Lonchura striata: one gene and its partners. The protein of the gene in region 1 purifies or fractionates together with the protein of each later gene. This does not show direct contact. Links are inferred from orthologs where the notes say so. Each region holds a gene or a part of one and is shown in the gene's direction. Other genes may lie near its edges. The genes, in order: HNRNPU, HNRNPA2B1, DIMT1 and HNRNPA0.

Region 1 (7,614 bases):
GGTTTAAAAACTGTGAGTCATTGAATGCTCTGAAGTGAGAAACTGTTTCTCAGAAACTCATGGGCTTGGGTTTTGGATTTTTTGTTAAGCAAAAAATTTACTCCTTGGAAATGGGAAAAGGGGGATTCTTTTTGGTATGGGGTCAGTGAGGTTGACAAACACAGGTTGTGGCTGATATGTTCTGTCTCAGTGTAGCTTTGTAGTGCTTCCTTCTGCTTGGTGAGATTTCTCAACTACATCATCCAGCATACAGGAAAATCTAAATAGCATTAGTCTCTTAAAAAGGACTTGTTTACTGACAAGTGACAGCTCACCTGGGGGCCCAAAGAGTGCTACGGCAGAGAGTGTCGTAAGACAAAGATGCTTCTGAGGAGAACTAGCTAACCAAACCAGTGCCAGAAAGCTGAATTTAAGTCCCTCGAACCCTGGCAGATCTACTTGTAATTAGACACTAACCACCCCTTAGGTCCTGAGGATGCTTTCAGACCTAACTAATCTGGTTACTGTGCAATTAATAGGCCTTATTTTGGCATATGACCACCTGATTTCTGAGATGAACTGAACTCCTTTGATATTGAAATATCATGGAGAGATTATAGATAGTACAAGGCAAGGTCAATCTAGTTCAGCATCCTGACTCTGATGGTGAGCAGTAGTACACGTCAGGAAAAAAGAAAGAGGAGCACAGTGCTATTTCTCAAAAACAAACTCCTGGCCTCCTGGCAGACAGATCCTTAGACCCTCCTATGGAAATAAATAAATAGGGGCTAAGAAATCATCAGACCTGCCCATTAGTCATGCAACCTCACTTGATACAAATCAGCATTTTAAAAATGCCTGAAAATTTCTCATTGGGTCTAGTAATGATTAATGAGTATGAAAAGGGAGAAAGAAAAAGACTCGCTCCACATACTGCCTGCTATCATAAAAGGCATCAGAGTATTTCAATAATGATATTCTCTTTTAAAGTAATGGTGTGTTGAATGTGGAAATCTGAAGGCAATATTAATTGAGGGTAGATGGATTAAGGACATGCAGAAGAGACGAGCAACATACTGTGATGGTCAGATGTAGGGTAAAGCACAACAAGAGGAGCCAGAACAGGACAGACAAGGCTCTAAGAGAGTAGAACAGGGAAACACAAATGCCCGGGCTCTCCTGCAGCACTGAAGATGTGTGGAAAGGTTCAAAGCCCAGGTGGGATTGAACTCTTCTGGTAGTTCAATGCCCTCCTTAAAGCTTGCTCTTCTTTATGTTACCTCTTTGTCACTGCTCTTGGTAAACAAAAAGAGGAGAGAGATTTGGAAGGACTAAGGGTGAATAATGGAAAGGACATTATAGGTGAGTAGAGCAACTAATTGAAGTCTAAAGGAAAACAAACAAAAATCAGGGAAACCAGAGTAACTGATCTGTTGAAGAGCCAAGTCCCAGAGGATCTGGAAATTACTTTTGAGAGGGAAGACTGGTTTGGAGAGGAAAACAGTTTAGCTTAGGAAGTAACACAGGTAGGAGAAAAATACTATATGATTGATAAAAAGTGCATAGGGTTGTATCTTTTATACATGGAGGCATGTCACTTTTCATTTAAATGGAAAGAAAGCTTATTTTTCAATATATTTTGAGACCAAAAAAAGCCATTTTAATAGAGAAATATTGTGGTTACTAGCAATTTTTGTTTTTCATATGGCCATCACTATACAAGTAGCAGCTTTGCACATTAAAGCTTAAAGTGCTTTTCTTTAGTGCTATCCTGTTTCAGGAGGTTGCATTACCAAACACTCATTTTTGATATGGCTGGCATCTATCTATCTGCATATTCTGTGAAAGGCAGAGTTGAAGTATCCACTCAGTATCTGACCTAAGAGAGGGTATGGCAATGAGGAGAGCATACATCCTGAACTTATTTTTCTCCTTCAAAGTATAAATAAGGGAAAGGCAAACTCTTGAAACACAGGACTCAAAGAGGACAGGGGAGTATTTTGAGAGATTTTTCCCAGGGACCGAATATGTTATTTAACTTACATATGGAAAAAACTTTTTTTTTTTAACACTGAGAGGCAGTCATTAAAGTTACACATCTGTTTCAGTTATGTGTGTGTTTTATTTACTTAGCTTAATGATTATTTACAACTATTTATTTATTACTTACAATTGAATCACCTGACATCTGAAAATCAACTGGGATACCTCACTTCTGCAATAACAGGTAACATAACTGTAGTCTGAAAAGTCTTGCTATACCTGTTTGGTAGTGTAATTAAGTGAGTGGTTAGATAGTAAGCATTACCCTTAATGTGATGTTATGAGTTAATCTCCTTTAAAAATAATAAACTTATCCTTCTAAGTGGTTTAATAAATAGACAGCTGTAGTAACTTGTAAAAAATGCATCAAGTTAATAGTGCTAAATTTGAAAGGGAGGAGGGGAGGAGAAATTATTTTTACTTTATCTACTTGTGCCTTTATATACAGGCTTCGATGCTTTAGGGTAAGGAATCTCTCCATGTGCCTCAAAGCTGTTAGTTGTTTTGTTTCTCCATGGTAACAGGAGTATAAAACAGTATGAGCATGTTACTGAAGCAGGGAGACATGACGTTGTTTAGGAGTGGGACTACATGTAATGACTGCTGCTCTCAGGTGATTCTGATTGAGGATATTTTCTAGTACAGAGGCACTGTCAATATGTGCAAATGTGCTCATTAAGGCAAGGCTTAGGGATACATAGCTGGCCTAAAAGAATCTATCAATCCATAAAGTTTGCAGTGGTGGGAGGCATTATCAGACATCGGGTTGATTAAACTCTTCCAGGAAGATGACTCAACATGTGAAAAGCCCTGTGCAAGATCAGGGTCTAAACATAGGGCTCTGTCTAGGGTTCAGATAATACAATTCATAAGGAGTTATTGATGTATTTTCTGTTTAAATGACATCCAAATTAATGCAGAATTATCTGTAAGTTTCAGACAGTAACCTTGCAATATTAAGTAGTTTAATTTTGTTGTCACTTTGGCAGAACAGTATACATTAGGACTCCTTCAGCAGACTAGCTAAGATTGTTCTTTTATGAAGAAATGGACAAAGGCAATGATTTAGAGTGGTACAGCTTAATCACAGACTGATCTCTCCTTTGCATTGATGTACTCTTAGTCTTTTCTTCTGCTATTGAGGTGACTCTGGCTTACTGGACTGAAATAAAATCTACTAACTTGACCTTAAAATAAGGGGAAGATTCTGGTAACTAACTTTTTTCTCATCTGTACATATTGCACCTCTTCCTGAATCTCTTCCAACAAGCTATTGTGTAGTGCTGTGTTCTGCTAACCTTGCTGACCGAGTTGTCTCCACGTAGCTATAGACTGACTGAGGACAGAGCGGTGTGAGTGGACAGTGTGTGAAAGCACCCTTTCCTTGCACACTTAAAACAGGATGACTTCCTTGACTCTCCTCCCTTCTTCTGGGGCAGGTAAACGTAATTTGCTCTGGTTCAGGAGGCCACGCAATCTGTACCAACACAAGGCAAATTCGTGGTAAACACACTCCCTTTTGTTGCTCTTCATACTGATCCTCTGGTGATTTGACTTGTATTCCTTTTCCTGCAATTGAAAATTAGCTTTTTATCCGGGTTCCCTAAGGAAGCCGACTTGCAGATCCGTGCTACCATTCTGTTTGTATGAAATCCTCTCCACTCTTTGTTTTCATGTTACTTTTGAGCGAATTGGAAAAATCCAAAATTAAACGACTGTACAACGTGAGCGGCTGTGGAGAGCCCCATATGAACGCTGTGCAGAGGGAGAGGCAGGGGGGAGAAAAGAGGGAAAGCTGCGCAGTTTTGGTGAGCAGATTAGCCCTGTGCCGAGCTCCAGATTAGTTCATGCCTTTGTTACCGCCGGCTCCGGTCACGGCTCAGCCCCGCGCCTGCCTCCCGGTGCTGCGGGCACGGGGTAGCCCCGCTCCTGCCCTTATGTAACTGCTGTAGCAGGCCTGTGCCAGGGGAACTATTTGGAGCAGCAGTGTCCCTTTTTAAAGCCTGTAAGCAATAAACCGTGCGAGACTAGGCCCGACCAGGGCGCAGGGGAGCCAGCGGAATCGGGACAAGGCTCTGCGAGGCTGTGGCTGGAACGCGGGCCCCTCGTGGGGGGCATTTCGGTCGGGCTGTGGCCTCACGCGGGCGGGAGCCGGCACGGGGGTGGTTCTCAGCCCGGAGCGGGTTCATCGTGCCGGAGCGGTGTTACAGCCGATCCGCCACCGCCAAGGGACCCGCCGGGACAAGGGCGGCGGGGCATGCAGCGCTCGGGCGGTATTTACGGTAATGCGGTCGTTACGGTAGCGCGGGAGGGCCTACGTGCGCGGGGGCGGGACGGCGCGCGCGGCGCCGGTGCGTGCGCGGCCCCGTGAGGCGCGTCTCCCTCGCGAGCTCGCGGTGAAAGGATTTGGCGCCAGGCGGGTCCGGCTCCGCAGCTCCCGCAGCCGCACGAACCCCCCGCGCCTCCCGCCCGCACCCACCGCCCGCCGGGGCACCGACACACCGCAGGCAGAGCCAGAGCCGCCCGTCTGTCCCTGCTCGCCGCCGCCCGCGCGCCGCCCAGGGACCGAGCCGCCACTGCTGCCGCCGCCATGAGCTGCTCTCCCGTGAACGTAAAGAAGCTGAAGGTGTCGGAGCTGAAAGAGGAGCTGAAAAAGCGGCGCCTCTCCGACAAGGGCCTCAAGGCTGAGCTCATGGAGCGGCTCCAGGCCGCGCTAGATCAGGAGGAGGCCGGCGGGGGCGGCCCCGCCAGCGGCGCGGCCGAGCCCGGCAACGGCAGCGTGGAGGGGGAGGCGGCCGAGAGCGGCGGGGGCGCCGCGCAGCTCCGCCAGGGGGGGGGCCCCGGCCAGGCCGCGGCCTCCGCCATGGAGGACGACGACGAGGAAGGGCTGGAGGCCGCCGATGGCGACGCCATGGAGTTGGGCGAGGAGAACGGCGAGCGGGCAGGGGCCGGGGGCGGCCCCATGGAGGAGGAGGCGGGCGGCGAGGAGGAGGAGGAAGAGGAGGAGGATGATGAGAACGGCGACGACCAGGGTTTTCAAGAGGGGGAGGACGAGTTGGCCGACGAGGAGGAGGCCGCGGCCGGGGACGCCAACGGCCACGGTGACCAGCAGCCGCCGCAGCCCCAGCAGCCGCAGCAGCCCCCTCCGCTCCTCCCGCCGCGCGGCGCCGCTGCCGCCAAGGAGGCTCCCGGCAAGAGCGCTGGGGGCGCCTCGGGGCCCGCCGCTGCCTCTGGCCCGGCGGGCCCCGCCAAGCAGCAGCAGCAGCAGAAGAAAGCGGAAGGCGGCGGCGGAGGCGGCCGCCCCGGGGCGCAGGGCGTCGGGGGTGAGTGAGCGAGGCGGCGGGAAGCGGGGTGGGGGCCATTAATCCCATCCCCCCGCCATGACGGGGGTTGTTGGGCCGGGGGGGGTTGGGGGCGGCGGTTTCCGGGGCGCGCGCGGGAGGACGTTGGCGGCCCCGCGCCTCGTGCTGGCCCGGCGGGGGAGGGGCGGGGAGGAGGGGCGGCGGAGGGGCCGCTGGGGCGCGCTGTGCATTGTGCGCCCGCAGCGCGGGGCGCCTGACGTCACTTCCGGGCTGGGCGCCGCCGCCGCTCGGGATGGCGCTGGGAAGGCCTGGCGGTACAATGGAGGCGGGAGGAGGAATCCCTTCCCTGGGGCTGCCGCCCGCGGCCCGCCGGGAGGAGGCGCAGTCGTGCGGATCGCACGGTGCCCTTGCGAGAGGCTGGCAGTGACCCGCTGCCTCCGTGGTGGGCGGGTGGTGATGGTGTTGCGGGTCTGGAGGCGCGGTGGCTCAGGAGATTTTTTTGGTTTTTTTTAATCATTTTGGTGGGGATTTCTTTTTTTTTTTTTTTTTTTCGGGGCTGTTTCAATGGGGCTCATAACATTGAGGGCCGTACTCGCTGCTGTGTGGTGTATTGGCGACTTCCGTATGCTAAATAATTTCTGATTGGCGACAAGTTTTGAGTCTTCCCGTGAAAATTCAACATACAGGGCTTTACCTTAGTAACATAGTAAAATGCCCTTTTAAGATGTTACTGCTTATCTTATGCTGTAGCTTGCTGCAGCTTGCAAAGTTGAAGCCATGATATAGATTCTAATCCAAATTAAACTAATCAAAATAAATCATTGCTTCTGTTCTAGGAGATGGTAAAACAGAGCAAAAGCCTGGTGAGAAGAAGAGGGGAGTGAAGAGACCACGTGAAGACCATGGCCGGGGATACTTTGAATACATTGAGGAAAACAAGTACAGCAGGTAAACAGAATTGGTACTGGGCACATTTTGTGATGAGGAGGCATAGAGTACAGAAATGTTATTTTAGCTTAGTGAAAATACGTGTAACTTATTCTGTTTTGTTTGGTTTTGTTTTTTCAGGGCCAAGTCTCCTCAACCACCTGTTGAAGAAGAAGATGAACATTTTGATGACACAGTGGTTTGTCTTGATACTTGTGAGTAAACATGCTTTCCTTTACCCTGGAAAGATGTGGTGTTGAGGCTTTTACTCTTAATGCCACGCTTTCTGAGACGGGGAGGATAACATTTGTTGATTTTCATTACCAGGTAACTTTTTTAAAAAAATTAGAAAAATACTCTGTTTCCACCCATTTTCAGCAAAGAAAACAACAGAAGGACCTGAGTATGTTAGCAGTAATAAACTTGGTTTTCTTTCAATTCTGTAGTGATAGACAGTTCTGTGAAGAAATCTTAACCAAAACACTAATCTGGTATGGAAGTTTAGGTGAGTAAGTGTAGAGTGCACATAGAACACTCTGGAGACAGGTTGATGAAACAGCTGTCCAGCACTGTTGCCCAGAAAGCTCAGAGAGTAGCATAAGTGTTTACAAAGCACAGTTTGGGAAGTGAGCTTCCTGCATACATTCCCTTATTTAGATACTGACTAGTGGAGTGTTTCTTCTGTCTTCTGATCAATTTAACAAAATCTAGTAATGCTTCCTCAGAAATGAGCCATTCATGTAACGTGTGAATGTGTGGCTTTGCGTGGTGGTTTGTGCAAGTGGGATGGCAGAGAGACTTAGTCTACAGAGCATATAAATGGAGAACTATCTGCAAACAGGGTTGTTTTTGAGGCAGATTATAAACATTATTACTGTAACATTATTATGGCAGAGTTGACATTTGTATTCTTGAGGGTAAGTATAAGGACTCAGTGCAATATTAGAAAACTTGATCTTGAAGTAATGCTTGAACTCGTTGGATTCTTACAGTGCCATGGAAGGGAAGCTTAACTTTTGGCATTGTCTGGCATACTTCTTAGAAGTTTCAGGTGGTTTTATTCCACAATAAATGGTTTGAAATGGAAGGCGGTATTACTTTACAGTCACGTAAATTGCCGGATATGCCATCCCTGACATTTTGCTAAGTCTCAAGTTTCTAGCTGCTAACCTGGTGAGTAGCCACTTCTGTGGGAGCTTTGGATTTTTCCAATAGCTGAGTAAATAGCTCCTTTTCATAATTACTGTTTCTAGTAATAATGGTATTTTCTAGTGGAAAATCTTGTTACTGGGCAAATTCTGATTTAAAGTGTTGGCAGACTCTTCAGAAATAAGATTCAAACACAGCTGTAAGGCTGAATTGT
Region 2 (7,418 bases), on another chromosome or scaffold:
TCTTTTAGTGAAGACTGGAAGATGATTCTCTTGCCAAAGCCCTGTCTCTGTACCCCTTATTTTTCATAATTAATTATTCCCTCCCTCCCCAAAATACTTTACTCTTTATGGTTAGCAACCCATAAATTGAAGGTTCAAACAACACATATGAGAAAAAGTTTTTAGTTTCTCATTTAAATAGCAAGTTTCTGTATATATCTCACATGGCCATCATGTTTTTGATTTGACAGCATAGAAGAGAGAACAGAGCATGTATTTCCAATTAGATTTTAAGTGCCTGCATATCCCAGGTGTATTTTGACCACAGCATTCATGTCTGAAAAGTGTTAACTTAAGCATATTGGCTTTTTTTGCCTCTACAGGAAAAAGAATACAAGACTGATATTGAAGGGAAATACAACATGAAGATGTCCAAGGCTTCTATGAGGGCAGCTTCTTTCAAAAAATGGAAGTGTGAAATAGAAAGGGGTAGATATGAGGAAAATAAACAAACAATAAAAGTAGCAGAGGGAAAAACGACAACACAGAAAAAGACAGACTCACTATACCATAGTAATAACATTATAATTACTGGTGATGAGGCAAGCAGGCTACATGTGGGGAACATCTCCATCTGTATTCTCCGTTGGACTAAAATTCTTTGATTCAATGGAAGACTGTTTTCTGGTACTCTTTTCGGCTTCACTAATTCTTGTCACTTAAAGATCAATGTTTTGGATTTCTGTATCAAAGCAACAATTTTTTTTTTACTTTCTAAAACTTAAGTATCTTAAGTATCTTCCACAGAGGAAAATGAGTATCATGGGGGGGGGGGGTCTGTATTTTTTTCTTGAAGTGCAGTAAGAAATAGCAAAATAAAAAGTATGCTGCTTCTGTTTTAAATGTTAGAGATTTATTAGGTCTTGTGCATCAGCACTGCTCTTCAAACTCTTGAGCCTATTAGGATAACACTTGATTGCAGAGCCTGCAGAAATACTGAACATGTTAAAAACCTGTACATTCTGGGATTATACAAGCCCATGCAAATCTCAGCCCACAAGTGAATTGTGACACCTGACTGAACTTAAAGCATACTAAATGTCCACTTGACCCCTGAAGCTCTCCTCTCTAGGGCTGCACATTGTAAACTGTAAATTGGACATTTGACCATTGAAGGCTCATGTATAGCTTGCTTCTCTTTCTGCATTCAGGAGTCATATGACACCACATATGACAGATGTAGATCTATGGATAAACACTCTTTCGTTGAGGGGCAAGGTTAAAACACTGATGTGACACTGTGGTGTAAAATTTTAACATACAAGATGTAAGAAAATTGGAATTACAGCTCTAGAGCTACCCTACCCCTTAACATATTTAGGTTTTGCATGCAAATATATAACTAAGCAGAATTAGTTATGGTTCCCATGGGAACCATAACTGATTTTCCTGACCTGTACAGCAAAATTCTCAATAACATCAAAAGATTAAAAATACCACATTCAAAAGATTTTTTTCCTCTCTCCAAAGCACCCTTTCCCAGGCTGGCTAACTTCTTCTCTTCTTCAAATTAGGGATAAGTGGACAATCAATTACTAACAGAAAGTTTAGACATTCATCTCGGTGAAATATTTTAAACCAGTACAACACAGAGGAAGCACTCCGTTGCACTTCTAAGCCAGGAGTTAATAAAAGTTTTGAATATATTTTGAACTGAGTAAACATTTCTGTAAATTTAAGAACAGGCCTTTCGAGACTATTATAAACCAGCTGTTCTGCTGCTGGAGTTTTGAATTGTGCACATATATTTTGGCTTGCTTCCCCATCTCAATCTCAGATACATCTCACAATATACTTCTACAGGTCTGTCTTTCATGAAACTATGTATCAGTATTAGTTGAACTGCAACCAGCAACCAACTGCCATTGGAAGTCCATATTTTAATGTCAAGCAAAGCTTTAGAGGACTTGAGATCCATGAATGCATCATTAAAATGGTCCAGGAAGGGTTGACATCTGATAATCTCTGCTCCTATGAAATTCAAAGAAACTGTTATTTGTTAAAAAGCATTTCAAAAGGCATCTTAATTATGCCACATCATTTCTCAATAATGTTACTTTCCATCTGTAAAGATTGCCTTTTGTCAGGCAAATATTTTTCTCCAAATACACTGGGAGAAATTAAGTGAATACATGATTTAGACTTTATTTTTTACATGTATGATGAATTACATGGTATGCTGAAAGGAGGCTAAAAAAAATCCTCAGTATTTTCTATTGTAGAATAGATGAAATAGTGCAGAGTCCTTTCATACTTTTTTCTCAACACGTTTCTCTTTAGAAATGGCAGATTTATTAAAACCAAAGACAATGTCCTTTCTAGTAGCCTTACTTTCTGGATCTGAAATTTGGTCAGAATAATGCTGGGGAGGGGAGATGTGGATGTATCTTTTAAATGGAGATGCCAAGTTATAAGTTTGAAGAAAAATATGTTGATTAAATCCTTATATACTTTAGGTGTGCATGAACTTACCAATGTAGTTTTATTGGAGGCCATTTTTATTGCAGACTTGCAGAGCTTTTACTAGAAAAATGCATGACAATTAAAAGGAAGTTTGCATTACTCAAAGAAAGGCATCCCAAGACAAGCATGGTCCTTGTTCCAACCCCCATGTATTCACTGCATACAACATTTCTTACACGGATTAAATCCAGAACAAAAAGTAGGTTACTACTTTGTCCGGCATAACCCAGTAATGCACCATTAGGCTAGCCAGGATAAATGATACTGACAAGGTGGTATATAGGGTTGAAAAAAATTTTTCCCAAGGCCTTCAAAAGCATAGACATGTTTCTAGGGAAAAGGGGGAGGACCATCAGGGATGCTCATTTCCTTAAACCAAATAGAAACAGAGCTCAAATTCTAGCAATTGAAGACATACCTAAGGTATATTAACTGTAAATATCTGATGGGGAAGATATATATATTTGTGGTGCAATGAATCACCCATTATTCTTACATGGTAGCAAATTCTTATAAACAGCAAATATTTCTCTTAATGCAACTATAATGTTGCCTTCTGATTCTCAAGTTGGCAAGAGTTAAGGTCCTAAAACAATATTAACTCAGCTAAGATGTACATACTACATATTTAACCTATGCAAATTAGGTTGAACACAATCCATCCCCTTTTCCATGTCATTTCTCATACCGACCAGCTCCATAGGCATGTATTGTCACCGCCCCGCAGCGAGCTATAGAAATGCTAGAATTCCCCATATGCCTGGGTAAAGCAGAAAAGTCCTTTAAGGCCAGAAAGCCTTCCGGACTCAGCAATCCCGCCCAATCCTCCCCTGACACGGGAGGCGGATTTTGGCAGCCGCATGGGCGGTGGGTTAGGCGAGGTGGGAAAAGGGCCGGGGCCAGGGCGCCAGTGCCGAAGGTCTTGCCTTGCGTCCCCCGGAGAGGCAGCAGAAAGGGGTAAAAAAAAAAAAACCCAAAACCCAATAGCAACAATCCCCCCCGCCACAAACCAGAGGCAGCCCTGCGGAGGCCTGCTGCGCCTCGGGCCTGCGGCGGGCGCACATGAGGCCGGCGGGGCTGCCCCGGGCGAGGTAACGGGGACGCAGGCCTGGGCCGCTTCCGCCGCCGCTGACAGGGCCCCTCCACGCCATCTTCCCCCCGCCCCTTCACGTCTTCCCCGGGCCGAGCACACGTAGGGACCGCCGGCGGGCCGGCTTTGTCTGCCGCGCGGGTGCCGCTGCCCCCGCCCCCGGCACTGCTCTCCTTCCCCTGGGGCGACAGCGCCCGCGTGCCCGGGCGCCGGCCTGCCTCCCTCCCTCCCTCCCTCCCCGAGCGGGTGCCGAAGCCCCGATTCCCCGACAGCTCCGCTCCGCCCGCCACCCCCCACCGCCAAGGAAGCGGGGGTGGGGAAGAAGCGGCGGTGGGGGGAGGCGGGCGGGTTGCGCTCCGCATCTCCCCGCGGCGGCCCGCAGCGAGCCGCAGAGGAAAGGGGAGTCAGGGAAAGGGACTCGAGGGTGAATGGGGTGAAAGGAAGCGGCTGCAGCGAAAGAAAAGAGGGAGAGAGAGAGAGAGAGAAGGATACAGACTTCAATGGTGCCCAGCCGCTTAGGTCTCCTGTCTCCTCCTGGCTCCCGCCCTGCGCGCACTGAGCGGCGGCGGCAGCAGCAACAGCGACATCCGCGGGGGGCTGAGGCGGGGGGTGGGGGCAGGGAGGGAGCGAGAGAGGGAGGGCGGGAGCGGAGGGCGGAGAGCGGCGCGGCGGTGGCGGGCTGGGCTGGGCTGGGCCGGGCGAGCTCTGCGCGCCGGCGGCTGTGACGGGGCAGAGCGCACGACGCCGCCGCCGCCTACGCGCGAGCCGCTACAACCTCCGACCGTCGTCGCCGCCGGCACAGGAGGGGGGCCAAGACGTCTCTCCAACGCGGGGCGAGCGCAGGACCGCGCCAGGCGTCCAAAAGAAGGAAGATGCCTCGCGGCGACAGGGAAAGCGACTGGGTAAGCCTGGGGGAGCGGGCGGGGTTGGCGGACCCCGAGAGCCACGGCCGCCATCATGGCGGCCGCAGCGAATGCGCTTCGGGCCGATGCTGCCCGCCGCCGCGGAGCGAGGCCCTCGATCGGGGCGGCCGGGCGGGCCCCGGGCGTGGGGAGGGCAGGCGAGGAGCGCTGGCGTAGGTTTGAAGCTCGTTTGGAGGGGCCCCCTTTGGAGGGCGGCCATTTCCCGCGTTGCGGCGGGGAGGCCTGGGTGTGAGCAAGGGCGGGGGGAGGGAAGGGGGCTCGGGAAGCTGCGGGGCTCTGGGGCCCGAGAACTCATTCATAAGTGGGAAAAGGGGTCGGGGGAGTCGGCTGGGGAGCCTTCACTGCAGCCAGGAGAGCTGCGGGTGGATCCGCGGTGAAGCTGAAAGGGAGGGGGAGCAGAGGGGGCGGGAAGAAAGGAGCTGCTCCAGCGCCATTTCTTTGGCGCGCGGGGCGGCAGCACTCACCCTTTGTCGCGGTGCGCGTAGGGCCGCCGGAGAGGGAAAAAAGGAGGGGATGAAGGAGAAGAAGAGGACAGCGCGGCGGAGCGGGCAGCACGCCCGATGCCGATGGTGCGGGCTAGAGCGGAGCGAGCTGCGGCGAAGTCCGCCTCCCTCCGCCGGGGCCCCGCGATATATCGCACTTGTGCCAAAATCTGTGTAACTTTCACTTCCTCCTGCCTGGGCGGAGGAGGAAGGGGGCCAGGGCGAGGTTTCGGGGAGCGATGCGCTGCCGCCCCCGACTAATAATAACGCCGAGGTTTGTGCCTTCGGGGCCTTTTGTCAATTTCCATAAAAAAAACCAAACAAAATTGAGTGCCAGTAGCGTTCGAGGCCGCTACGGCTGCGCTCGGGCACGTCTCGCGAGCCTGTCGATGGTCAGAAACTGCCGAGTTGGCTGAAGTAGTCGGTGACTTGCTGCGTCTTTCTGTCCGGAAATTGCCGAGCTGGCCCCGAGCGCCATTTTCGCGTGCTGCGGCAGATTCCGGAAATTACCGAAGCGAGTCGAATGGGCTTCCATTCCTGGTTCGGCTTTTTCCGGCGGCTGTCGAAGCGGATAAGCTCGACGACGACAGCTCCTTCGGCTCATTTCGGAGACGGCCATTACTAACGGAGTCGATGACTTTCATTACACGATAAAAACACGTAGGGGCATTATTCAGAATTGCAGCCCCTTTGGAGATATTTAAGCTCCAGATCCTGTAGTTTTTTTTTTCTTTTTTTTTTTCTTTTTTTTTTTTTTTTTTAATTAATTAAACCTCGGAAGCGAGCCCGAGCTGGAGTACGAGGGCGCTAACACTACGCGGAGCTGAATTTCAAATTACGTAACAGCTCAGGCAGCCATTACCGACCAGTTGTACGGTACTCTCGAGCGGGAATACATAAACCATGAAGAACATGGTACGTGGAATGGGTGGATTTAGACCTTGCTTTTAAGGAGGGAGACGCGTTTGCTTGTGTAGACAGAGTGAATTTTTTCGGGACTCAGAATTACAAGCAAGCTTGAGTCGTCCGCACAAGTCCAGGCGCTGCCGCCGGTCGCAGCGCGGGGCGGATGCTGGATGTCTTTGCGCAGAGGAAGGTTTTGGAAGCGGCGACTGGGGCTGGCGCACAGCCGGGCGAGGCGGCGGAAGCTGCGGTAACCGCGCATGGCGGACAGCGCGTTCTTGAGCCCGTGGCCATGGCTATTAGCTGCGCTGCTGCTGAGGTGTCGGAGGAGCGGGGGGAGTCTGAGCCCCGCGGGCTGGGGGGGCCGTCTTGGCCCCCCGAGGCGCGGAGCGGCCGAGCGGCGCTGCGGGTAATGGCGGTGGCGAGGGGGAGGGGTAAAATGGCGGCCTGGCTGGGACTCGCGTCTGCGAGAGGCACTGGGGATCCCTCCGGCAGAGTGGGCAAGGCGGGCGTCAGCTGTAGTCGTCTGGTATGCACGGGGGCGAGAAGGAGCGCTGGAGAGGCCTTAGTACCGTGTGTGTAGGTGTACGCTGGCAGCAATTCGCAGCGCTGTCCCTGGAGGCGGCGGCTGCTCCCGGGCGCCATTTTCCCCGCCCGGCTCGGGGCCGCGGTGTTCCCGCTGCCGCCACATGGTGGAGCCGGCGCGGCCGCTGCGTCCCGGCCGCCACAGGCGGCGAGCGAGCTGCCGCTGAGGGGTTGCGGAGCTCTGGAGTTCAGGGATTCCCCCTCGCTCGTCTCCGGTAAACATTGCTGTTACCCGAGTTCTTAATTCCGCTGTCAGCGTGGATTGTGTCTGCGCACGTTACAGCTATGTGAAACACCTTTCCTTTCTCTGGTGATTAATTTTTTAGTAAAGGCTATGCGTTTTTCAGTGCTTTCAAGTTGCTTTAAGACTGTGGAGTAAAGCTTAAAATACACACGCATGAAGATCCTACAGAGGTAGAAATTTCCCTTAGTGCTTTGTTCCTGCCACGGGCCATACTGTGGAAATCTTGAAAGAGGTGTTAACCTCCAGCTTTTATATTGTGGCCTTTCCTAGGTATGAGGTGTCTGTCTGTAGCAAAAGAGTATTTTCCTTAGGACTCTATGAGACACTGGCATGATGATAGTTATTGTACATTTTATACCTTCAGCACAAACTTTAGATGTGCAGAACTCTCTGGACTTTGGTAGGTTAGTGTTAGGCCAACCAGAGCTTCTTCAGACTGGCTCATTTGAGACAGATAGTTTATCTGCATCTAGAGATTTCGTGTTAGTGGAGCAGCGTGTGTGCTGTTTTCGCACAGTGGTTTTCATTAAAGAACTGGTAATTAATTTCGTTATTGCTGTTTTCTGACGTGTGGTGCTTAGATGTTCTGGGTAGATCATGACCCTAAATACATCTGTAAAATGCATTACTATTCTGTTTAATGTCTGTTAGTTATATGTAGTATATTTTTATAATTGTTATTGTATATT
Region 3 (8,249 bases), on another chromosome or scaffold:
TGACAAAGTCCTTACCTTCCCTTCTCACCAACAGAATTTCTATGGAGAGCTTATTCTCTGCATGCCCCCTGTAAAGACAATTGACTCAGGAAAGGCACCAGCTCCTCTTAGTGGGATCTGCTCAAAATACAGTTTTAATTACTGCCATGTACAAATGCACACGTGAAAGTTATTCCTGCAGACAGACACAGCTGCACCTTGGGAGTTTAAACCCAGATTTCTCCAATCTTAGTTTGTTGTGATAACCTCACACTGCCCTCATTCTTTTTCAACTGATGAACCAGGGCTCTTCAGACCCTAATTTATACAGAGGATATACGGATATACTTAACCCCACAGAACTGCAAAGGCTGTGAATATTGGCTCTAATAGTATGAGACAGAGACAATCCTCACCTCTGACATATCTGACTTCACCTGTTGCACGGGAAAGGCAAAAGGGACATAGGTTACCCCACAGATTGGTTAAATCACAGGGACAAGGACTTTCTCCATAGTTTATGGGACTTCTACAGCTTTACTCACTATTGAGCTATACCTACAAGACTGTCCTAGAGATGAAACTCAGAAGGTATTAAATAGCTATTGTCTTTTGGGTACTTTCAGAGACATGAGCACCTATGGAAATTTTGGCAGAGTCTATCAAACTTATAAGCAACACATTCTTAGAAGGAAGTCAAGGTCTGCCTTTCTGTCACAGCAGCCAGAATTTCCAGGTTTGATTACTTGAGTAAAAGCGTTATTTCTATTTTTACTTACTAGCATCAGTCTGTGTCTTCACAATAAACACTGAGCAGTATCAGGTATGTTTGTTGTCTTCTGCTTTTCTGTGGTCTACACCCATTGCTATAACAACCAGATTGCACACAAACATTTTGGAAGAAGGAAAAGAAATTCCTTTCACTAGAAAGTGTTAAATGTGGTCAGCTGCAAACCCAAGCATGACTCTTACTGCCATGCCTGAATTTTGTCTTGCAAAAGGGAAAAGAGACTATCCATATCCCACATGAAAAAGATGCTCTCCAAGATCCCACTGGATATAACACTATTGAACTTGACAATAGCCTATCCTCAAGTCTCAGCTGGCAGGAAAAAAACCAAGCAGTTACACCTAGAATAAAAAACAAAACATCAAATCCTACCCCTTAGCATAATGAGTGTCTTCAGAGATCACAAATACCAGTAACAGTTCCTCATCATTATAATCTAATGTCCTATACTTCCATTCTCACTTTTAGACACCTTAATCTCCTTTAAGAGGCAAAGTCTTACTCCTCTTCTATTCTTTACTCTTTAATTCCCTTTCTGAGGAGGTATCTGCAAACACATTTTACCTTTCAAGACTATTCCAAGTGTTCGAATTTTATACTAGCCATGCCAGTTTAATGTTTTTCCTTAACAGGCTTCTCATACGACAAAAAGGTATCTAGGTACTTTTCCCCTCACATTAAAATACATCCTAATTTTAAAATCACATCAGCTATAAAAAGAAATTGGTAACTGCTAAACATCTGAAGAGGTACAAAACAAAGGATTTCATCACTAAACACCTCCCTACTTCACTTTTTCTGAGGAATGCAGTGTAACAGCTCACTAACATCCAGACAATTAATTCTGTGTATTTTTGTTCTCTTTCGTAAAGAATTCAATTTTTTCCTAGTATAAGAACGTGCAAGAACAGATTCAGTCAAGATTTCACAAAATCAGAAGAAGAAAAAGCCATAAACACATTGCACAAAATACAGTGTGCTCTCACGGATCATAGTGCAAATACATTCTGGGCTACTTCAAGAGCACAAGTGGCTCTGTGGATGTTGTTATCCTTCTTTACCCAGTGTCTGAGACGGCTTCTAGGACCCTGCTTCCAGCTTGGTTCTCTCCTCAGCTCAACAGGCAACAAACCGGAGAGAGGCCAGAGCTACTAGGATAGTCTGTGGTCTAAAGCAAATTATCTATGAGGAGGTAATGCTTAATGTTGTTTATGACCGTGGAACCTGAGGAAGACTTTGCAGACACCTAAACTAATTCCCTGCAGAGTGCTTACAAAGAGGACTTGCTGCTTCTTATCAGCAGATTATACAACTAATGAAAAACTATAAAGCTACATCCTGCAGTTCAGAAGGTTCAAGTAGGAAACTGTGACTTTTACAGCACATTTGTTTCAAGGAAAAGACGAAAAACAACGTTTCCATGCTGAAAGGCCACAAGAACTCCTGAAATAACTAACGAATTCTGGCATTCAGTCACACAGATATGATACATTAGCAAAGACACTGTCACCTTCAGGAAAAGTTGGTTTTACACTGGTTTCTCTCCAGCCTTCTACAAACTCCTCCATTAATCTCTTTTCTAGCATTGCAGGATCTGCATCAATTATGCCACATGCTCATAATCCTACTAAGGACTGGACCCAACAGAACTAAAACTATCCTGGTTATTGAAGGTACTACTTAAACTCATTAGTAACTACAGCAATCACCAAATCCAACACAATGACTAATGTTAAACATTCCTAATTTTTTTCAAAACCTACATATTAATTTTTTATTTATGTAATTAAAGCAAGCTATCTAAAGTTTGCCCAATTTAAGCCACAGTAAAGAAGGCAAAAATGTCTGAGCAGGAAAGAGTCAGAGATGTTTTCTTCCCATGCTGCTAACAACAGAAATACAGGAGTGGAATTTACAAGATTTCATTTTTACAAAAATTTAATACTGAAACTAAAAGCTAGGTCTGAAAAAAGCATGAAAAAGACACGAAGGATAAATAAATTAAAAACAGTGAGGACCATAGTAACAAAGGATAGCAACAAGTAAGGCTGACAACAATGTTACAGAAGGTCAATCAAAATTTATCAAAAATTCTGAGAAGAATGAACTCTGATATTAGACAGTAACCACCAAAGTGACCAAAAATTCCTAACAGAAAAAACAGGGAGTAAAGAAATGACTGAGACAATTCTGAGGATTAACTCAAAAATGACTGTCACAGGTTTCAGTACTGATGACATAGGAAAAGACAAATTGATACAGAGACAATGTAAGAATATTTTTGAAGTTTAATCGTAAGTTTCTAGGATGAGCAATAGTACAAGGTCAATCATATTCCTTTGACTTCTTCCTAATTTACCTAATTTAATGGATTTTCAAAAAGACCTGACAGACCACTTAAGAACAAACTAGTGCCAAACAGCTGAGATGGAAATGCCTGTTTCAGTCAGCCCTCATGTTCTGGAACAGGTTTCATTTTAACTACAGTTAACTCCCACTTCTGATGATAACATTTCAAAATGTTATACAGAAAGCATGGGTGACAAAAACCTTCCTTTTATCATTTATGGACATGACAGTAAATGTCCTTGATGAGAACAGTACGCTGAAAGAATGAGAGAAGAAAAACAGAGAGCAGTGACAAATTTGGTGCTGCCATGAAGTTTGATGAAACCAAACTCCATAAGGAACATGTGTTTTACAAAAATTCAGGTATAACTTGTATACTATGAATATAATTTGAATTTGGCAGTGTTTTACTGATGTGCTCTTTGGGCTAATTTAAAAGCCATGTCAGATATGTCACAGACATGACTTCATGTATGAGACATGGGAAGCAAAGCACATGGGAGCATAAGTGGGAAGCAGCCATCACCATTGCACTTAGGGTCTTGTTCTTGTATTTTACACACACTGCTGTCTTCTATGGTAACAAATTGGAGAAGTAACTCACCACTGCTGCACTGAGCCTGCCTCTGATTAAGGGAAGATTCTGCTCTGCAGAAAAACTGCTGTTCTTCAGCCTGCAGGAAGAAAACAACCACCTGGAATGAAGGCCACTACGCACCCCTTCCCGCAAAAAACAAGTTCTCTCAGGTTAATGCCTCATTATCCTCCCATGCTTTCCATGAATTCCAGCCTGACTAAAAACTGTTTCAAGAAGAAAGCGGGAAACCGTTCCCTGGAATTAGGTAACAGCTATTTACTTCCAGCTCCGAGCAGGCCCTTTGCCGTGGCCAGTACCATAGGTAAAAGAGGCCTAGCTGCCTTAATGCCGGTACCGTGGCGGTCAATCCACGCCGGAGTCCCGCCGGCTCGGGCACTGCAGACGGGGGCACAGCCGGCGGAGCAGCAGCCGGAGCGAGTGCGTAGGAGCAGCGCCGCCCGCAGCGACACAGCCGCGGGGCTCCGCGCCCCGAGCGCGGTCCCGCTGGAAGCCGCCGGCGCCTTCCCCCCTCACCGCGTCCCGCCCGGCCTCCCACGAACCGGGACCAGCGCGCGCCGCCGCGGCACCACCGCCTCCCGGCGCGCGGCACTGACGTCACTGCCCCGCGCCGCCCGCGCCGCCGCCAGCTGCGGGGCGGGGCAGGGCCTCGCCTGCGTGGTGCTCGCGCCAGAACGTAACGCTGAGGATGTGTATGAGAACGTAAATTAAAAAAATTCAGACAGGATTAAAAAAAGGAATACACTTTATTGGCGTGGCAGCTGCTGGGAATGACTGCACCGGCACTGCTCCGGCCGTGAGCGGATGGGCGCTTTGCGCAGAGACGGGGTTAAAGCGCCGCGTTATCTTATCGGCAGAAACTGATGAGGGTCGCCCTGAAAAATCCAGCCTTCCCTTCCCTTCCCTTCCCTTCCCTTCCCTTCCCTTCCCTTCCCTTCCCTTCCCTTCCCTTCCCTTCCCTTCCCTTCCCTTCCCTTCCCTTCCCCCCTTTTTTTTCTTCCTCTCTTTTCTCTCTCTGCCCCTCTTTCATTCATCTCTCATTTTCTCTTTCCCTTTCCACCCTACCGTTTTAATCGAAAACCCACTGCCCTGTGCTTACGGACTAGGTCGGGGTACTGGACACACCCACTTTTAGGCCGCGTGTCATTTACCAATAAACCCTGGGAAGCTTTTGTGGACCCGCTGACACTGTCCCTTGGGACTCGGGGCTGCTCCGTCCCCCGAGGGTGGGAGGCCCGAGGCCGCGCTCGTGCGGTCCGCCGGCGCGCCAGGGGGCGCTGCCCGCCGCCGGCCGCGCGCGGGGCCGCCGCCAGCTCCGGTGCCGCGCGGCACGTGCGGCCGAGCGGGGCCGAGCCGGGCCGAGCCGAGCTGAGCTGAGACGGGCCGGGCCGGGCTGAGACGGGCCGGGCCGAGCCGAGCCGAGCTGAGACGGGCCGGGCCGGGCCGAGCCGAGCTGAGACGGGCCGAGCCGGGCTGAGCCGAGCCGAGCTGAGACGGGCCGGGCCGAGCCGAGCCGAGCTGAGACGGGCCGGGCCGGGCCGAGCTGACTGCTGCCATGCCCAAGGCGCGGGCCGGGAAGCGGCCCCAGCGCCGGGAAGGCGGCGCCGGCGGTGAGTGCGGAGCGGAGCGGGCCGGCAGGATCCCGGGAGCCCGCGCCGAGCGGGGGCCTGTGGGGAGCGCGGCTGCTCACGGTAACACGCCCGTCTCTTCCCCAGGCATCCTGTTCAACACCGGGGCCGGGCAGCACATCCTGAAGAACCCTCTCGTGGTGAACAGCATCATCGATAAGGTGGGAGCCGGGCCGTGCCGCCTGCTGCGGGCGGGGTGCCTGCGTGTTGGCGCTGCTCCGGACGTGGCTGCTCGCCGGCTGTTCACGCGTGGCCAGCGAGGCGCCATAAATCGGTGCCACGGCATTCTGGTTCTCCCCGTTTCCCACTCGTTACTTTCTAAACGACTCTCACGCTCCCTTGATACCCAGTTCCAACTTATTACTGTGTCAAAAGCGCTTACTTTAATTTTAAAGTCAAATGATTGCACGAAATTGGTTCTACGGAAGCACTCAAAATGCTGTTTGTCCTTAGGCTGCCCTGCGCCGAACAGATGTCATTCTGGAAGTGGGCCCGGGAACTGGAAACCTGACAGTAAAGATGCTGGAGAAGGTCAAAAAAGTAAGTACAAATTCTCTTTCATACACCCCTTTCCCAAGCTCTGACTGTGCTTTGGCTTAGAGTATGGCAAATAGAAGGGTCTTCATAGGCATGATGAACATACGTAGAATTACTCCACTGATACTTTTCTTAACATATGAATAGTCCCGATGGGTTTTTAGCTGATCACATAAATTTTGTGTGGTTTTGTCAAACTACAGTGCTATAATCCATTTATGTGGTAAAGCTTCCTTGTATTTGAGAGGGAGGAAGGTACATAGCCTAACATTGGAAGGATTCTTTGAACCCATAACAACAGATACAGGGCTGGGATTTTTACAATTAAATTCCAGTTAGGAGATGCATGGAGTTTTAAATATATAATTTTTTTTTAGGTTATTGCTTGTGAAATTGACCCTAGACTTGTTGGTGAGCTTCAGAAGAGAGTCCAGGGCACGTAAGTATCAATTATGGGAAACAGGAAGCACTAAAGCAGTGGTGCTGCTTTGGTACAAATTTTGGCAACAGTGCTTATCTGAGTATAACCACAATGTATCTTTTCCCCCAGGTGTCTAGCAAACAAACTTGAAATCAAGGTTGGTGACATCTTGAAAACAGATTTACCATTCTTTGATGCATGTGTCGCTAACTTGCCTTACCAGGTATGGGACAAGCAACATAGCAGGCAACACCATAAACAAAATTACTTTTAAATGCTCATTTCCCAGAAATTATACTAACATTATTAATTTTTTTTTCTCAGATTTCTTCACCTTTTGTTTTCAAGTTATTGCTTCATAGACCCTTTTTCAGGTATGTGGAAGAATAGAGCTCTGTGTTACCTGAGAGGAAAGAAAATAGTTTTAAAAATGTTTTCAAATCCAGTATTTTTTTAGTTCCTGAGGTACAAGTGTGATGGACCAGAGCTGTACCAATTTTTTTCTGTAATACATAGTCTAACAGTGCCTGGAAATTAAGTTTATGTTGATATATTGAGCATGAGGAGAAAATTTAAAGTTGGCAACAGTGAGTGCCCAGCAGATAAAAACAGGAGTTACATCTCCTTAGTATTACAACTAAGTATTATTCCAAGGATAAGCAGGGCATAATAGCATTTCAAATACCTTCCTGGCTAAGGGTGAAAGGGTAGAATCAATGCCAAATCACTTTCTTGTTGTCTGATGTAAAAATGTAACCATCTTGTCTGTGTGTCAGACATCAGTATGTCAGCAGCTCTTGATTTCTCTCAGAGGAACATTGGTAACATTACCGGTCAGTTTTTGGAAAGCTTGGGTTTGAAGGACTCAGCAGAGAGTTACTCAAAATTATTTATTACAGTCAGGCAACTCTGAGACTAGATAGTCTCTTTGATCCTGATCCATCTAGCAGTAAATAATCAAATTATGTAACAGCTTTAAGGAGACTTGGATGGCTTCACCAAGTTTTGTGATGGGTTTTGGGTTTTTTTTCAACATGCTAATCAAGGCAAAGTTGTTTATTACGAACATTTACTCTTCTAATTGCTGAGGCAAACTGTATGTTTTCCAAGTGTGTTCATTTGGCTTCTGACATAAAAATGGAACACTTAGAATTGATTTTCTCATTTCTGTTACTCTCAGGTGTGCAATCCTTATGTTTCAAAGGGAATTTGCACTTCGTTTGGTTGCAAAACCAGGAAGCAAACTGTACTGCAGACTCTCTATTAATACTCAGTTATTAGCTCGAGTGGACCATCTGATGAAGGTAGGTCACTGCCTTTAGGTAACTCAGCTATGAAACACAGAAGAGTGTTGCAAGGGATGTGAGGAGTTTGCTGCTTATTCACACAGCTGCTTGACTGCTCTTAACTAACAGGTTGGAAAGAACAACTTCAAGCCTCCTCCCAAAGTCGAATCCAGTGTTGTCAGAATAGAGCCAAAGAACCCACCACCACCTATCAACTTCCAGGTGAGCAGTGTATACTCAACGTAACGTTAGTGATAATTTCATATTTCTTCCCAGTTACTATTCAGTTCTATGTGCTGATTCTAGTACAAACTACCAGCTATTTATTCATTGGAGCTTCCAAAATGGCTTTTCCTCTCTTGATCAGGCTTGTTAGACCATTAACACAACATGCCACCACCAGCTGGGGGCAGCTTTGTCAAGTACAGTATCTCTTATAAGACTAAGATCAGCTGGAGAACTGCTAGTAGTAATGTCCCTTTGGTCATGGTTTATGGCTCCCAGAGATGTTTCTGGCTGATAATTTTGCAGGTTTTGATCAGAGAAATATATGAGATTTATCTTCAGGTGAGTGTGTTTAATCACCGAAGACAAATGTTACAGAAGAGTATTCTTAATTCTTAAAACACTTCAAGACCATTTCAGCCTTGCCCAAGGTTAGCCA
Region 4 (8,006 bases), on another chromosome or scaffold:
CAAAGAAAAGGATGCAAATTCAATTCTCTGATGGCTTTCCACTTCACCCTTCACAAAGGTGTGTTTCTTTCTTCAGCAAACTCCCCTTAGAAGGGGCCCAGGGAAGATTTTGTTTAACAGATAAACTTTGATACTACTTACTGAAGAAATAGTACCTGTGGGTTATTCTGTTACCTTTTTATCTATAGGTTATCTTCTTTTGCATTAAGCAAATACAAGAGAGGGGTCGTGTTTTATTCCCCATCTGAATTTACACAAGGTAGAGATTTTTATCCTGAGGAGTATTATGTTCAGACTTTAGGGAGGTAAAAGTCTATCTAGTTGCCTCTCACTATTTTTAAATCTTTTTCAACAAAAAACCCTCTCCTGATCAGTACTAGTTCATGAAAGTCTCCTAAGTAAGATCACAGGTTTGAGGTTTATGCAGATGAAAGTGCAAACAGCAGAACAGAGTGAAAGAGAAACTTTGGCCAAAAAAGCAGGAGATCTCTCAAGGACAGCTGTACCCTTTTCAGAAGTTTTTGCACCTGTAACTAAAGCAAGGTGCCAGGCTGGGAATGCTTGTGGTGCTGCTGTTTTTTTACACAACATGCTCCCTATGAACCACACAATTACACTCTGCCTGAGGTGTTGATTTGGGTAGGACTGAGCCTTCCAAAAGTCTAATAATATCTCATTGAAAGGATGTAAATAAAAATCTTTGCTTCTGTGTGTATCTCAGAGTGATGTGGGAAATTATAGTTGGATCCCTTGTATTCCCAACTGTTCCCATCTATTCACAGTTAGAAAAATCTGGGTGAAATGTGTGTGTAGCTAAGGTGATGTTATTACAATTTTCAATGTGAATGCAGAATTCAGCAGTCCGCATGAAATTTCAAAATGCTTTCTGTCTGCTGAAAGGTCAAACTAAATCTAAGTCTAGAGCATTGTACTATACAAAAAAATACTTAAACTCATTAAAAATTGTGATGTACATAAATTGCTTAAGAAAATAATCGATGCCTGCCAAGAGTGGAAGCCACAGATGTAACTAAAGATGTTGAAACTAGTTAAAAAGATATGACTTTGTGTTTATATGAGGGTTTAGATAAAACATTTATAACTTAATAACTACTTCTGAATTCATGATGTTTTTCCATTGCCCTTCATGCTCTTTTCCAAAACTTAATTATTAATTTTCAGTCTTGGCAGTTTGGACCCATTAAATAGCATGACAAAGTTATGTTTCTTGAATGACAAAATGGATATAAAAAATTCCTTAATAGTTTATTTTGCATCAGCTTTTACTAAGAATATATGGTAACACAGGAAGTCGTGTTGGAAAGGGACTGCTCAGACTTCTGGTTTTCAATCTCTTAAGCAGCAATGCCCTCCTGTGGACTCTGGCTAGAACGATTTCTTCTGAATAACCAGAAAGGTGTATGCATGAACATGATTTGGTTTTCCTTCTTCCTAACGCACTAATTAAAATGTCCCATTAAGATATTTGATTTAATTGGCATTATTTGGCTAATGTGTCTGATTTGAGAAACACATCTTCTTTTGGTAATGATACAGGTGGAGCTGAAAAAGCACCTAACTTTAGAAACTTTGGCTGCTGATTTTTTTTTTATTCTATAGGTTGCTAGTAGAGCTGAAAAAAATGTCATGCTGCAATTGCCTTGTTGGAAAGTGAAAAGTGTGTATTCCTATTGCATTATACTTTCCTAAGAATTTTTATATCCATAGGATGGTATTATGCATTTACTAGTTTACAGGAAGAAGCAGTTTAAAAATTCTGTGGGGAAGCTGCTGTGGCAGCTGGAGTGTTTCTGGTTTACATCTCACACACGGGAGACTCATCTTTGGTTCTGCACTCACACTGTGGCAGCACCTGTGTCTCGTTGGCTCATGTAGCTTGAAGGAAAAGCTCATTTCAGGAGCAGAGAAAGGCACCTTTCCTGGGAATGTGTGTGCCAAGTGATTTGCTGCACAGCTCGGGTGACTGGTGCCTCAGCAGGCGTGAATCCAACAGTGACTGGAGAGGTCCGGTTGGAGCCTCCGAGGATGACCTGGGAGGAAGGAAGGTCTCTGGGGGCTGCAGGAGAAGCTGATGTGCATCCCAGAGCCTGGGGCTGTGTCAGGGCACATGGACGTGTGCAGGAGAAGCTGATGTGCATCCCAGAGCCCGGGGCTGTGTCAGGGCACATGGACGTGTGCAGGAGAAGCTGATGTGCATCCCAGAGCCCGGGGATGTGCCAGGGCACAAGGATGTGTGCAGGAGAAGCTGATGTGCATCCCAGAGCCTGGGGCTGTGTCAGGGCACATGGATGTGTGCAGGAGAAGCTGATGTGCATCCCAGAGCCCGGGGCTGTGTCAGGGCACATGGACGTGTGCAGGCTCTCAGCCCTGCCAGGGCAGGGACTGAACTCAGAGCAGGCTTTGAGCGGAGGTGTGAATGAACAACACGAGCTCACTCCAGCAGCTGGGAAAGGTGGGGACACCGGGCCAAGTGCAGTTTGGCCTTTGTGCATTTTCAGAGGAGACATTTCCACCTGCATGACATGGGTATGTGTGTCTTAAAGGTGTTTTCCTTTCATTAATCAACCAGCTAGAAGTGTAAATGAAGAGGAAGAATTTGGGCTACACCTGAATTGAGTCAGTGGCTGATTTTTCCTACTGATTTATTCACACCTTAAGGACCCTCATCTCCTCGTGATGCAAGCTGCAGCTTTTTTCTTTGATCTGTTCCTTGGCTTACTTGTCTGGCTTTCAGGGAGAGAAAGTGTGGTGTAAACAAACTTTGATTTGTTATCTGTTGAGGTCATAATTAGCTCATCTTAATTTTTCATCCTTTTTGCTCTAAATTACTATAGGTCTACAAAACTCCCATGGATTATTTTCCACATGACACATACTAATTTATCTTGTGAAGGGCCATACAGATCTTACAATAACTAGTAGGCAAAATAGTTTTGTATTTCCTGTAATTTATGTGCAGCTTGCAGACAGCCTCTGGGAAGATTTTTATTTAATACAGTAGGATATGTTTGTTTATTTTAAAACCAGAGATATTTCAGTGGCATTATGGGATATTCTTTTTCTTAAACTATATAAAGTGATGGTGTCAGTTCATGCATTGAGATAAATGGATCTAAAGCCATGACAACTTTCCTTGTGATTGTCAAACATAGTTATTTAATAAGTTACTCTTACTATAGACTTGGCTATAGCATAAAAAAATCCAATCTGAGTAAAATCAGATTACTGTACTGCAAGTATCAATGCTACAGGTTAATGAGGATCATAGCCTGTGAGACAAAAGCATGTTCAGCCTCTCTGGAGTTCCTCTGGGGCTGTGGTTAACCAACCTTCCAGCACGGTCAGTGTTCTTCTTGTGTCTGTGTCTCCAAGGGAGCATTTCCAATTGATCATCATCAGGGGGATGCTGCAGTTCTGCTTCCTCCCTCCTGCCAGCACCAGCAGATCATGCAAAAAATGTTTCAGAAAGCTGAGGCAGCTGAAAACCAGTTCCTTTGTCATGATAAAACCATTTATGACTGTCTCAGTTCTCTTATGTGGATGCTGTGTGTTTGCAGAAGCATCAAGGTTGGCACATGGGAAAAGGCAGGATCAGTTCAGGGAACTGTGGAACTACATCCTGACAGTGCCTAATGCAGAACAACAGTCATTCTTAGCTCCCGCTTAATTTTAACATAAACCCTAGTGACTGTAAGACCAAAAAAAGAATCTTTCTAATGAAAAATTCACTTAAGTTGAAAGTAATGCTGCAGTCTTCATGACAGCAATGTTTAATGCACTATCAAAGTAAGAGGGGAAAAAAAAGGAAAATTGTCTCACTATTTGTCATTCCACAGGGCTTGCACACTCTTGAACAGCTCTAATAATTTCGCTGAGAAAATACCTCATTTTCAGAGCTAAGGAGAGATCTAAGGGTGCGTAGGCTGTGATAGGGTTGGAAAGAGAAAGCAGGGGAGGAAACAGTAGCAGGAATAGTGAGAAGGAATCACAAAAATGTGTAAGTTGGACAAGCCCTTCAAGATGATCGACTCGAACCCTTCCTGCGGCACTGCCAAAGCCACCGCTGAACCGTGACCCCAAGCGCGACATCCGCGCTGTCTTTTAAACCCTCCAGAGATGCGACTCCACCTGGCAGCTTGCTTTCGGTGAAGAATTCTTCCCTGATATCCAACTAAACCTTCTCTGTCACACCCGGAGGCCGCTCCTCGCATCCCGTGCGCTGGGAGCGGTTACCAAGGCGAAGGCGGCACGAAGGAGGGAAGCGCCATCGCTGCGGGGAGCGGAGGGCGGGCGAGGGCCGAGCCCAGGGCCGCAGCCGGGCCGTGCCCGCCGGGTGCCGCCGGCAGCGTCCGTACCCACGGGGCGCGGCCAAGGGGCGGGCCGGGCTCCGCTTCACGGGAGCGCGAGGCAACGGCACAAACAGAAGCACGGCGAGTTCCACGTGAACGCGAGGGAGAACTTTAGAGCGCAGAGTGCTGGCAGGCCGGGATGCGGGGTGTGGCTCGCCGGGGCTCTCCCGTCCCGGGGCCGGGGCCGCGCTCTGAGGGCGGCCCGAGCCCCGCGCGCCCAACGGTCCCCGCCGTTCAAACGCTCCCGCGCGCCCCGCCCCCCGAGGGGCGGGGCCAACGGAGAGGGAGCGCGCGCCGGGACGCGGGCGGCGTCCCATTGGCTGCCGGCCGCGGGCCCGGCGCATTGACGTACTGCCCCGCCCCTCCGCCCGGCGCGCGCCGAACGCGTCCCGCGTTCCTATTGGCTGCCCGCCGCGTCCGTCCCCGGCGAACCTCGGGACTTTTGCGGAGGTCGCGCCCTTTCATTGGTTGCCGCACACGTCCATCGCGGCCTAAGCCACGCCCCTTAGGCGTGAGTGGCGGGCGCCGCCGGCGCGTCGCTCTCATTGGCTGCGGCGGCGGCGGAGGCCGGCCCGGGGGGCGGGGCTCCCGGCGGCCCCTTTGTGTGGGCACCAGTCGCCGGCCGCGCTCCCGAGAAGCCGCTGCCGCCATTTTGTGCGCGCCTGTGTTCGCGCCCACCCCCGCCCGCCTTCCCGGGGCAGCGGCGGCACCGGGGACGCCCCGACTGTGCTGCCGGTCAGGTGAGGCGGAGCGGAGGCGCCGGGCCGCGCCGAGCGAGCTACCGCCGGCGGCCGCCGCAGCCGCGAAGAGGTCGCGTTGCTCGCAGGGGAAAGAAGCGGCAAGACGGAGCAGGGGGGGAAAAAACCTCCGGAGCTGCCCCCGAACAGGAGGAGGAGTTTCGGCGCCAGGCCCAGGCGCGGCACCGGAGGCAGCATGGAGAACTCGCAGCTGTGCAAGCTGTTCATCGGCGGGCTGAACGTGCAGACCACGGAGGCCGGGCTGCGGGAGCACTTCGCGGCCTACGGCACCCTCACCGACTGCGTGGTCGTGCTCAACCCGCAGACCAAGCGCTCCCGGTGCTTCGGCTTCGTCACCTACTCGGCGGTGGAGGAGGCGGACGCCGCCATGGCCGCGTCGCCCCACGCGGTGGACGGGAATGCGGTGGAGCTGAAGCGGGCCGTGTCCCGGGAGGACTCGGCCAAGCCCGGCGCTCACGCCAAGGTGAAGAAGCTCTTCGTGGGCGGCCTCAAAGGGGACGTGGGCGAAGGGGACCTGGTGCAGCACTTCAGCCAGTTCGGCCCCGTGGAGAAGGCCGAGATCATCGCCGACAAACAGAGCGGGAAAAAGCGCGGCTTCGGTTTCGTCTACTTCCAGAACCACGACGCGGCCGATAAGGCGGCCGTGGTCAAGTTCCACCCGATCCAGGGCCACCGAGTGGAGGTCAAGAAGGCCGTGCCCAAGGAGGACATCCAGGCGGGCGGGGGGGGCGGCGGCTCTTCCAGGCCCTCCCGGGGAGGCAGAGGAGGAAGGGGCCGGGGCGGCGGCGGCTCCGGCAACCGGGATCACAACGGGCTTTCCAAAGGAGGCGGCGGCTACAACAGCTACGGCGGCTACGGCGGGGGAGGAGGCGGCGGGTACGGCTCCTATGGCAGCGGTTCCTACGGAGGCGGCGGCGGAGGGGGAGGCGGAGACTACGGCAACGGGTACGGCGGGTTCGGCAGCTACAGCCAGCACCAGTCCTCCTACGGCCCCATGAAGAGCGGCGGAGGAGGTGGAGGAGGGGGCGGCAGCTGGGGGGGCCGCAGTAACAGTGGACCGTACAGAGGAGGCTATGGTGGGGGAGGCTACGGGGGCGGCTCTTTCTGAGCTGGAGCGCTCATACCCATTGATGGGGGGGCGTGGAGAGCCCTCCCTTCGATACGGGGCAGCTTCTAAATGGTTTCTCCCCTCATTCGCCGAAGGGCAGCTCCTTTTAAATGCCTCCCTTCCGTGGGAGCGGCTCCTAAATGCCCCCTGAGGGTCGCCTCTGCTGCCTGTGCCACTTCTTTCTCTCTGAAGATGGACTGGGCCCCACATACACATATTTTGTGTTACAGTCATTGATGGACTCTATTTTTTTATTATTACTTGGACCTTGGTCGTTTTTATACTAGCAACGAAAAATGTCTTGTTTTAATTTGTTTTTTGGGGGGTGCGGGGTGGGAAGTGTCTTGCTGATCTGGAGTAAAAACCGGGGAGGCTGGGGGGAAGTTCCTTTGTTGTAAGGACTCGATGCCTGGATACTACGTTTTTTTCTACAAAAGCTACTCGGATCCCATGACTGACTTTTAACATTTCTGTAAAGGAGGAAAAAATGGTTTTTACGTTTTTTATTTTTTAAATAAATCATTGTGTTCATTGACCTTTATACGTCTAATTCTTTTTCCTAGGATCAATTCCGCACGGTTTTAAGGCTTTTCTAGGTTTGAAGCAAGTGTTCCTCTGCTTTAAAATCTCAGTGTACTTAGAGTAGTAAATATTTTGTTGCCAGTAAAGGTCCTAACTGACTTTTTTGCTAGTGGCTTTCAAACACTCGACAGAGAAATTTTTGAAGTACTAATCCGTGGATGTGTTCTGTTTTTTAAATACTCGTTCTCACTTTGGCAGTTTGTGTGCATCCACCATCTTGTACTAGACAGTTTGACGTGCTGACATGGTTGGTCAGTTTTTTCTGTAGGACTTTTCCATCAACGTATGTATTGTGTAGTTTTGAAGAAATAGTTTGTGTTAAGCATGTGCTTCATTCATATAAAATGTTCAGAATTTCTTATTGCTTAGTTTTCAAGTCCTTGGTTTGTCTCTGTGTGATTCCTTCCAGGAAAGGGTCGACATTTATCCCTTCTATTAAAGGCATACTTGTTTTCCTAGCCCCGGGTTAACAGATTTCACTCGGAACTATTGTTCTTCCTGAAAGTTCCCTGAGAACTCTGGCAGCTCCATCTGCTGTCAGGATGGCAGCCCCGTGCTGTGGGCTTCCTTAAAGCAGGAGTAAAACTGGCTTGCTGACAATTGTACCAACCTTTGGAAAGTTATTTTTATGCCACTAGATGACTGGTGTAGAATACAGTGACATCTGCACGTGAATAAAGATGGGGTCCCTGACTACTGATTGGGTGGGGGTGGAAAAAGGAATGGATTTGCAATACCTGCCTCAGCACGTAATTTAACAAATAATAATTGCAGTTGACCATATTTCAGAAAGTGGTGATCTAAACTGGGCAAAGAGCTCTGAGAAGTGAGCCAGCAAGTGTACAAGTAACATAGGTGCCAGTTGTAAAGCAAAGATATCTGTGTAGTCTGCTTGATTTAAAAAATGTATATTTGTAGCCCTTTCACGCAATAGAATTAAAGTTTGTTGTTTATTAAAAAGCATAATGTTTTAGGGGAAAACTGCCTTCCTGCATAGAAATATAGATTAGCAACGTTTATGGGTTTATGGATATCAAATAAAAGATTTGAATTCCTTATATGCTTGAGTGAGAGTATATATGATGTGGGGCATGCATTTAAAAAGTACAAAGTTATTTTGACTTCAGGTTTCTAAGCTCTTGGAATGCTGATGTTTTGTGGGACTGCATCATAAAAGCTGCTTTTTGC

The links.
Region 2: the proteins of HNRNPU (region 1) and HNRNPA2B1 purify together in Homo sapiens (affinity purification with mass spectrometry; 4 studies listed by BioGRID and IntAct, with this or other methods). This does not show direct contact. The link is inferred for Lonchura striata from reciprocal best matches to the Homo sapiens genes HNRNPU and HNRNPA2B1.
Region 3: the proteins of HNRNPU (region 1) and DIMT1 purify together in Homo sapiens (affinity purification with mass spectrometry; 3 studies listed by BioGRID and IntAct, with this or other methods). This does not show direct contact. The link is inferred for Lonchura striata from reciprocal best matches to the Homo sapiens genes HNRNPU and DIMT1.
Region 4: the proteins of HNRNPU (region 1) and HNRNPA0 purify together in Homo sapiens (affinity purification with mass spectrometry; 3 studies listed by BioGRID and IntAct, with this or other methods). This does not show direct contact. The link is inferred for Lonchura striata from reciprocal best matches to the Homo sapiens genes HNRNPU and HNRNPA0.

Annotation. Positions count from the first base shown.
Region 1 is NC_134605.1:31,754,003-31,761,616, reverse strand, and holds the start of HNRNPU (heterogeneous nuclear ribonucleoprotein U), read left to right. Parts: upstream 1-4,374; 5' UTR 4,375-4,612; coding exon 4,613-5,345; intron 5,346-6,160; coding exon 6,161-6,272; intron 6,273-6,392; coding exon 6,393-6,466; intron 6,467-7,614. UniProt on the Homo sapiens protein: DNA- and RNA-binding protein involved in several cellular processes such as nuclear chromatin organization, telomere-length regulation, transcription, mRNA alternative splicing and stability, Xist-mediated transcriptional silencing and mitotic cell progression.
Region 2 is NC_134603.1:123,909,146-123,916,563, forward strand, and holds the start of HNRNPA2B1 (heterogeneous nuclear ribonucleoproteins A2/B1), read left to right. Parts: upstream 1-4,275; 5' UTR 4,276-4,464; coding exon 4,465-4,494; intron 4,495-5,579; exon of another isoform or gene 5,580-5,900; coding exon of another isoform or gene 5,901-5,912; intron 5,913-7,418. Other genes in the region: CBX3 (chromobox protein homolog 3), read right to left, coding at 572-613. UniProt on the Homo sapiens protein: Heterogeneous nuclear ribonucleoprotein (hnRNP) that associates with nascent pre-mRNAs, packaging them into hnRNP particles.
Region 3 is NC_134642.1:29,175,552-29,183,800, forward strand, and holds the start of DIMT1 (dimethyladenosine transferase), read left to right. Parts: upstream 1-5,172; 5' UTR 5,173-5,268; coding exon 5,269-5,502; intron 5,503-5,794; coding exon 5,795-5,881; intron 5,882-6,255; coding exon 6,256-6,317; intron 6,318-6,428; coding exon 6,429-6,522; intron 6,523-6,623; coding exon 6,624-6,673; intron 6,674-7,479; coding exon 7,480-7,603; intron 7,604-7,714; coding exon 7,715-7,807; intron 7,808-8,249. UniProt on the Homo sapiens protein: Specifically dimethylates two adjacent adenosines in the loop of a conserved hairpin near the 3'-end of 18S rRNA in the 40S particle.
Region 4 is NC_134617.1:7,823,262-7,831,267, forward strand, and holds the start of HNRNPA0 (heterogeneous nuclear ribonucleoprotein A0), read left to right. Parts: upstream 1-4,978; 5' UTR 4,979-5,303; coding exon 5,304-6,236; 3' UTR 6,237-8,006. UniProt on the Homo sapiens protein: mRNA-binding component of ribonucleosomes. Specifically binds AU-rich element (ARE)-containing mRNAs. Involved in post-transcriptional regulation of cytokines mRNAs.